Coturnix japonica: one gene and its partner. The protein of the gene in region 1 purifies or fractionates together with the protein of each later gene. This does not show direct contact. Links are inferred from orthologs where the notes say so. Each region holds a gene or a part of one and is shown on either strand. Other genes may lie near its edges.

The links.
Region 2: the proteins of HIP1R (region 1) and PICALM fractionate together in Homo sapiens (co-fractionation; 3 studies listed by BioGRID and IntAct, with this or other methods). This does not show direct contact. The link is inferred for Coturnix japonica from reciprocal best matches to the Homo sapiens genes HIP1R and PICALM.

The regions. Positions count from the first base shown.
Region 1 is NC_029530.1:4,498,297-4,502,551, reverse strand, and holds the start of HIP1R (huntingtin-interacting protein 1-related protein), read left to right. Parts: upstream 1-1,236; 5' UTR 1,237-1,318; coding exon 1,319-1,411; intron 1,412-4,153; coding exon 4,154-4,217; intron 4,218-4,255. UniProt on the Homo sapiens protein: Component of clathrin-coated pits and vesicles, that may link the endocytic machinery to the actin cytoskeleton. Binds 3-phosphoinositides (via ENTH domain).
Region 2 is NC_029516.1:170,349,670-170,353,967, forward strand, and holds the start of PICALM (phosphatidylinositol-binding clathrin assembly protein), read right to left. Parts: upstream 2,971-4,298; 5' UTR 2,688-2,970; coding exon 2,558-2,687; intron 1-2,557. UniProt on the Homo sapiens protein: Cytoplasmic adapter protein that plays a critical role in clathrin-mediated endocytosis which is important in processes such as internalization of cell receptors, synaptic transmission or removal of apoptotic cells.

The DNA of each region.
Region 1 (4,255 bases):
ATGAGGGGAAAACTAACAAAAAAGGCAATCTACCAGGGAAGTGGGTACACAGGGAGGCTTTTGAGCCACATCAGTGCAGTGAGGAGCTGCTGCTGCACTCAGACTGCATGCCCTGTGCTGGCTGCTTCCCCTTTGTGCCCCTGGGAGCAGTGTTAGCTTACAGCCCTGCTCTGCTGCTGGTGCTGCAGCTCAGCATCGCATCCAGTCCAGAGACTCTGTCTTCTTTCAAAAGAAGCTGGGTTTGCTTAGGGCACATTAATGGGGCTCTCAGAGGAAATGGATGCTGAGTAGCCAGAACGGTGTCCCTTCCTTTGCTTTAATACTCCTGTGTGGAGATCTTTCCCTCCAGAGATGGGCTCCAGGCCAAAAGAAGCAGGTTTTGTAGATGGAAAGCAGCGCTGTGACTTGCATCCTGAAACCACTGATGGCTGAATTCAGGAGCAAATCCCTCAAAGTGCTGAGCAGCGCTGACGGAGCACCACGCTGACACAGCACCGCGCTGAGCACACGCTCAGACTACAGGAATCATCTCATTGGCCTCGAGTGAGAAAGAAATGGCACAACCGTACCCGTGTTTTATCTTTATAGGGAGATTGAGTCGGGGAGAGCCCAGGAGCCACATAAAGGGGGAAAGCAACAGGAGAAAGGGGCAGCAAAGCGTGTGCGCTGCTGGTGAGCTGTGGCTCCGGAGGTGGCCAAAGGGCACAGAGATCAAGTGAGACAAACAGGGAAGGTTTTCACTCTATAGCACGCGTTATATCCCTGAGGTCACTGACTGCTCGGTGCTTTGTTCACCTTCTCTCTCTGCTTTTTGGTCAGTCTGCAGAGCTCCTGGCTCTGCTCAGAGCTGCTCGGGGCACGTGGGGGCTTTGAAGGTGGAAGGAGCGGATCACAGAATGACAGAATGACAGAATGACCCGGGTTGGAAGGGACCTCAAGGATCATGTAGTTCCAACCCAATCTCTGGGGTTAATTTACTCTGTCATTAAGTGACTTACAACCCACGTGTGCGTGGAGCTGGGCCGGCTGATTTCTGGAAGCATTACAACCCCCCCCCAGGGAATCACTCCGCTATTGTGCCCTTCCTCCGGAGTTATTATTGAACAAAACAAAGCTGCCGTTCATCTCACCGCGGTGAGGGGGTGGCTGAGCCGAGGGAAGGCGGATCGGAGCGGGCAGCGTCCCCCGGTACCGCGGGGATGGAGCCTGCAGGGGGCGGGCGCTGCCGGCAGGGGGCGCTGCGGAGCGCGGCCGGGAGGAGCCGCGGGCGGCGCCGTGTCGGTGTGTGCCCGGTGTGCGCGGTGCGAGCTGCGCAGCCATGAACAGCATCAAGAGCGTCCCCGCACGGGTCCTGAGCCGGCGGGCCGGGCACAGCCTGGAGGCGGAGAGGGAGCAGTTCGATAAGAACCAGGTGAGGGGGTTGGTGGGGCAGCCCACGGGGCCCGGTGGTGGATGGTACTCGGCCCCGCTGCCCCACGGCGCTGCCCATCCGTCCCCGTCCCGTCGGTTGCCGCATCCGAGCGGCCGGTGACCGGTCGGGGCAGCGAGAGGCCGCGGTGCCGGGTGGGAAGCGGCGATGTTGGGTTCGGGGAGCAGCAGCTGCACGAATAAACCGGCCATTCCGGTTCCTACGGGACGCGGCTCCTCCAGCCGCCCCGTCCCGTCCCTCCGGGCAGCGCCAGGAAGTAACCGCGGTGCGGGGAGGCCCCTCTGTCCGTCCGTCCGTCCGTCCGTCCTGGCTTTACTTCTCCCGAAGCAGCAGAGCCGCGTTATGGGGCCACGGTGTCCTAAAAGAGCTCCGTGCTAAGCGGAACCTTCCCAGCGCTGCCGTGTGGTATCGCTGCCCCGCACTGAGCCGGTGTTTGCAGTATAGAGTGAGCTTTGATCTGAACCATTCGATGGCTGTGATGTGATTTGCCTCCAAATGCTTTTTGGGGTCACATTGCGGTGTCAGCATCTGCCCTGCAGGTGAGGAGGCCCCGCTGTGCTCTGCAGTGTCATTAGAGGCAAAACTTGTGCTTTTGGTGCCCAACTTTTGCTTTTCTTGGCTACTTCTACCAGAAGGGTTGGGGTTGTGTCTGCTGGAGCGTTCAGACCCAACGTGCTCAGCATCCTCCAGGCATACAGCACACATGGATGCTGAGCGGTGCACTTGTGGTCCAGCTGTGGAGTCCTCAGATCAAAAGAGACCCAGATTTGCTGTTGTGCATTTGGAGCAGGGCCCCAAAACTGATCCCAGGGCTGGAGCACCTCCTGGGGCCGGGGGGAGCCGTGGGCGGAGAGGATGGTGCTGTAATTAAAGCAGCCTGGAAAGGAGGGGTGGATGTAACCCGCACTCCTTCCTTTGGACGCTTTGATCCAGGTTTCGTCACCGGCTCGGTACGCTGGGGCTGTGAGTAAGGTGCTCAGGGCTGCACCCGTGGTGGTTTTGTAACCCGCAGGTTTCGGGGTCTGACCTGCAGCCATCAGCACTGGGGTGGTGCTGGGGAAACCATCTGCAGCTGCGTGAAGGTTTCGGCCTGGTTGGTGGTGCTCAACACCTGGATGTCCCCATCTCTGACCTGTTTTTGGGGGGATCCTCTTGCCTTGGGGTTTGGATGCTGGCATTGGTTTGGTGCCACCCAGATCAGTGGGACTCATGTTGGATATGACACCTCCCACTGTGGATGTGAAGTGGCTCAGATCAAACCTCAGCACTGAATCACCCCCTAGGAAGGCACCCTCTGGAGCTTCTGGGCTGTGTTTTGGCTGGGCAGGTTCACGGGCAATAAACACAATGAAATCCCAATGGGGATCGTAGGTTTTGGGGCAGGTCCCAGTCTGTGGTGCTGAGCAGTGAGGATGTGGGATGGGGTTTGCTCTGCCCCGGCCCCATGGGGCTCCCACTGGTGATTTGGGATGAATTCTCTGTTGCTGCCGTGCCCAGCAGATGGCTCAGCCCTGCTGCCCCTCGTGCCAGTGCCTTTTTCCAGGCACTTCAGTCTCATTAACCTTCAAGTTAAGAGGATTACGCCAAGTCAATGGGGCTTAACTCCACTGCTGCTATACTGACCCACATGGCAGGGTAACGCCAGGGCTTCCCCCAGTGCATGAGAAGCAAAATCACCACCTGCTGCCACAGGGGATGCAGTGCCATGTGGGGCACCACCACCTCCATTTAACTCCTTGTGCTGGGAAGCAGTGACATGAACTGAGCCTGTATCCGAGTCCTGGGGCTGCTCACCCCAAAACGCTGCTGGGGACGAAGATCCACATGTTGGACCAGCTCTATATGGCAGGTTCCTGCTCCTGGCTGGCACTCAGTGGCGCTGTGCTGCTTTGGGTTCCTCCTGCCCTATTGACACAAAGCCGGTGCCCTGTGTGCTGCTCGTAGCTCAGGCTCCATGAGGTTTTACAGCCTGTGTGCAGGGAGGGACTGTGTTTTTCTTCCGGCACGAGCACCGGCAGCCTGGCTGCTTCCTGCCCTTCTGGCCCAATGCTTTTTGCTGCACAAAGGGCTCACAGCTGTGGGCACAGCCCCAGCGCTTGTGCAAAGGTGAAGAAGTGAAGGGAGGTCCTCGTGGTCTCAGCAGCTCAGATTTAGAGCTGGGAGTAGCAGCCAGGCCCTATTTTTGGTATAAAAACCTTCATTTTAGGGTGCAATTCAGTACATCAGTATACAGGTAATCCTCTTGATAAAGGCACTCCCCTGTGAACCGCTCTGCTCTGGGTTGTGGCATCGCAGCTGCTGCTCCCTCTGGGGGGCTGTTTTCCCTTCCCATTTCTCTGTTCTCACGCAGGGACGCCTTCAAAGCTGTGTAAAAACACCCCAGTTCAAAGGCTCCTTGTGATTGCACAAACAGCCCAGGAATGTGGCATCGCACTGTGCGTTGCCGCCGGCAGGGCACATTGCTGAGCTCAGGCTGCAAAGTGCCACTTGTTCAATGGGACAGAGGGGACATCCAGGGCTCTGAGGGCAGCCCGGCCCCGGCTGCTTTGTTCTGCATCAAAAAGCCTAATTCTGCAGTCCCAAACATTTGCCAAATGGAAAATGCAGAACGTTTTCCAAAAGCCCCCCAGCACTCGGGTTGCTCCCAGCTGGCAGTGCTGGGATGGAGGGGAGGAGGGTCCCAGGGGTCACAGTGCTGCTGACACCACTGTCCTCCTCCCGCAGGCCATCAGCATCAGCAAAGCCATCAACACGCAGGAGGCTCCAGTGAAGGAGAAACATGCACGCCGTATCCTTTCCCTCAGCCATTCAGGTGGTGCAGGAGAT
Region 2 (4,298 bases), on another chromosome or scaffold:
ATTATCATAGGCTAAGCCCACTTGTCAATACAAATTCTAATTCTTTCTCCCTCTAACCAAAAAAGCAACTAAATCTGTAACTGGAAAGGATCAATATGGTCCAAGAATGAGTTTTTACACTGTAGCTGCTAAGGCAGCAGTCACTGAGGGAACATACAAATACAGTAAGGAAAGCCCTTTAGTTTTGGAACTCCATAGGCCATCAAGAACAAGCTAAATAAGAGTTGGGATGATCACACGTAAAGGGATTTATTTTGCATTTTCCCCAGTTATACGGGTTAGTGCAAGGCTGGGCAACTTCAATGTGCTCACAACAGCTCAAGCTTAAACAAGAAAGTTTCAGAAATAGGACAGTCACAGAATTAGAAGTTTGCATAAGTAATGCATATACCACATCAAGAAGAATATGCAACGACCACAAAACACTACAAAAGTAAGGCTTAACTCTAGAAAACGTAGCTCATTCACTTGTCTGAAGTCTAGAGAAAGCCTTTAGGAAACCAAGCTTTAAAAAATTAAAATATATTTTTAAATATTCAAGAGGGACGCTGCCCATGGGAGAGCGGTACACTGTTATTCACAGTGACAGGTCAGCGTTTTGGATGTATTTAGCAGTTAAAAGAATTAAACTATTAATAAAAGTATGTGCACATAACTTAGAGGTGGGGCTTGAATCACAGCTTCAGCAGTAAAAAAAAAGAAAGGCATTTATTTTTAAACATTCAGCCATAAACAGTATGAACAAAGAAGGCTTCCAAAATATGGAACCGTGTCATTTCCTGATGGCAGGACTAGAGGTTCCCAAGGAACTTATTAGAGGCAGCAGACAAAACTTGATCTTCTCAGGATCTATTTTTACTGGTTGGAAAAGTAGTGATAGTAGGGAAAGCTAATGGAAAAGAAGTTCACATTGCTCTGAAAAAAGAATCATCTGAGAGTCCCAGTTCCAGCCTCTTTCTAAGTCCAGAGTAGACAGGAAATAAAGAAGCAATCCTCTCATCCAGCAACGACCCAGCAGCTTTCTGACAAGATCTAATATAGCAAGCATCCTTTCAGAACAGTATTCTACAGGTCTTGATTAGGACCTCTCCCAGCAAACATATTCAGAATAGCACCCTTGAATAAACACACACACAACTCCAAAGAGCAGTTGATGGGTCAGTTTGATAGTCCTGGAACTATGTTTTTTCTACTACCCCAAGCAAAGGTTTTGTATTAAGTCTCCCCTTCTGTTGTGAGAAACTCAGTAACATCACAGCTTCATACATCAGCCATATGACAAGGTGCTTTCTTTACCTGAGACTGAAATTAGCTGCAACCCACCCTAGATTTCCCTAGCTGACCAAAACAGAATACAACAACAGACAACAAAAACCATCTTGCATACAATCATTTTCTACACCATCTCAAGGCAAAAGATGAAAGAATAGCAGCAAGAAACAGGGCAGCTGTTCCATGGCTACTCCATAAATGGTCTGCATCTCTCTCAGGTATTCATAAACCAAGAGTTTCTTTACGCTGCAAGTCAGACACGTTTCGATGGACAATAAAAGCAGTAACTGCAGTATACTAGTACTATCAGCTGGTCTTGTCATTCGGACATAGTGAGGAGGCATGAATTCAAGATGCACAAAGACTCTGCCTTCTCACAAACGTGGGTGGGAGGAAAGGACGAAGCACTAACACCGAAGGCACAGCCACAGGTTCCTCTCCAGCATCTTTCTTTACAGATGAAGGAGGGCAGATCTAGAATAAACGGATGTGATACACTCAAGTACCCAAGTGAAGTGCATCCTTAGTCCTATGACCTCACAGCTTAATGGAACACGCACTAATACGAACTTCTGTGCTCATCATAATCAACTGGGTGAAACTGGGAGAAAACCTTTTAAGACTTCCCACTTTGGATCTAATTTTAATAGGAGCTGTACGGGATGTTAAGCTCAGGTGTTGAAGGTCTAAAGAAACTCCCTTAGGCCCATATACCCCCTGCTACCGACACAGACTAGAAAGGATAAGAGAGAGATTAGTCCTTCGAGCGCTCATCTCACACAGAAGAATACACGGAGCAACACGATGGGAAAGCATTGGGTTTTTTTTTTCCTAGTAGACATCCTGGGAGAGAAATAAGTGACCAACTTGAAACTCCCACACCTCCTCTACAGGACGTGGGAATGCTGCTCTAACAAGAGACCAACGAGACGAATAGGTGAGGAAATAACACCCCATTCCTCTCCTCAAACCCCTCGATCCTCTAAAGAAGAGGAACGCGGCAAGAGCTGCCCTTCAGAAGCTCACATTGCCCTGTGCATAAAGAAAAGCCGATCGGAGGCCTCTCCTGGAGGGCACACGCACGGCAATCAGCCTCTCCCAGCCTCTCCATCGCCACGTCCCCGCTCCCACCCACCCCCACCCCCTCAACCAGCCCGTCCTACACCGCTCCACGTTCCCTTGAGGCAGCCCCGCAACCCGGCTCGGTTCCTCGGGGCTCCGGGTGGGCTCAGCTCGGAAGGGAACACAGGGAGAGCCCGGCCGCCGTCACCCTTCGAGTACTCACAGTCCAGGTGCTTCTTCTTGGGCCCCATAACCTCGTGTGTCGTGGCCTTGCAGACGGTTTTAGAGACCGCCGAGCCGGTCACGCTGTGCTGAGCCGCCGTGATGCGGTCGGTGAGGCTTTGGCCGGACATGGCGGTGGTGGTGGAAGAGAGCGAGGCTCCGCTCCTTCCTCAGGGGCCGGGACGGGAGGACTAAAAGCCGGGGGATGGAACCGAACGGATTCCTGGCCCCGCCGCGCCTCAGGCGGCCCCCGCTCCGCCCTCAGGGACGGACCTGTCACCCGAGCAGGGACCCCTCCTCCTCCTCCCACCCCCCTCCCCCAGCCGCCGCCGTCCCCTCCCCCTCGCTCCTTCCGCTCGGCCGGGGACAGGGGACACACACTGGGAGCCGCAGGAAAATGGCGGCAGCGCGGCTCCTCCTCGGAGCTTTCCGGGCGCTCCGCATCACGTGAATCCCCGGCGCCCCGCCTACGTGACACGCCCCAATCCCCCCCCCCCTCTTCTCTTTCCCTACTGCGGACGAGACCCGGTCGGTCACAGAATCACAGAATGACCCGGGTTGGAAGGGACCTCAAGGATCATGTAGTTCCAACCCCCCTGCCTGGCAGGGCCACCAAACATACACCTTTACTACATCAGGTTGCCCAGGGCCCCGTCCAACCTGGTCTTAAACACCTCCAAGGACGGGGCATCCACAACCTCCCTGGGCAGCCTGTTCCAGGGCCTAACCACTCTCCTAGTGAAGAACTTCCCCCTAACATCCAACCTAAATCTTCCCTCTTTTAACTTAAAACCATTTCCCCTAGTCCTGCTATTATCAGCCCTTTCAAAGAGTTTACTCCCCTCCTGGGAGTAAGTTCCCTTCAGGTATTGAAAGGCTGCAATGAGGTCACCCCGCAACCTTCTCTTCTCTAGGCTGAACAAACCCAACTCCCTCAGCCTGTTCTCATAGGGGAGGTGCTCCAGCCCCCTGATCATCTTCCTGTCCCTCCTCTGGACCCTTTCCAAAATCTCCATGTCTTTTTTGTACTGAGGGCTCCACACCTGGACACAGTACAACAGATGGGGCCTCACAAGAGCCGAGTAGAGAGGGACAATCACCTCCCTATCCCTGCTGACCACCCCTCTCCTGATGGAGCCCAGGATCCCATTTGCTTTCCAGGCTGCCAGAGCACACTGCTGGCTCATGTTGAGTCTTTCATCCATCAGGACCCCCAGGTCCTTCTCTGCCGAGCTGCTCTCAAGGACCACTCCTCCCAGCCTGTACAGGTGCCTGGGGTTCTTCCAGCCCAAGTGCAAAACCTTGCACTTTGCCATGTTGAACCTCATTAGGTTCACCTGAGCCCAGCTTTCCAGCCTGTCAAGGGTCACGTGGTTCTGGCTGCCCTCAGCGCGGGTGTGGCGGTTGGGGGCTGCTGCCCTCAGGAGGGAGGGACGGCCACCAGCTTTGGGTCGTATCTGTGAGGAGATAGATATAGATCCGCTGTGGGGTCAGCAGAGTGACGCTTGAAAGCTCTCAAATTGACTTCTTAAGTGAATGACAGTTGGGGGTTGGAACTACATGATCCTTGAGATCCCTTCCAACCCGGGTCATTCTGTGATCCTGTGATTCTGTGACAGTGTTTTTATTCAGGTCTTTCAACGATCAGCCTCCCTCCGTTTTACTCTTCAGCTTAATGCTGCTCTGGGCTCTGGGATTTACCCAGCTGCTCTGCCCTTGACTTAAGGGATTTTTGGTGCCAA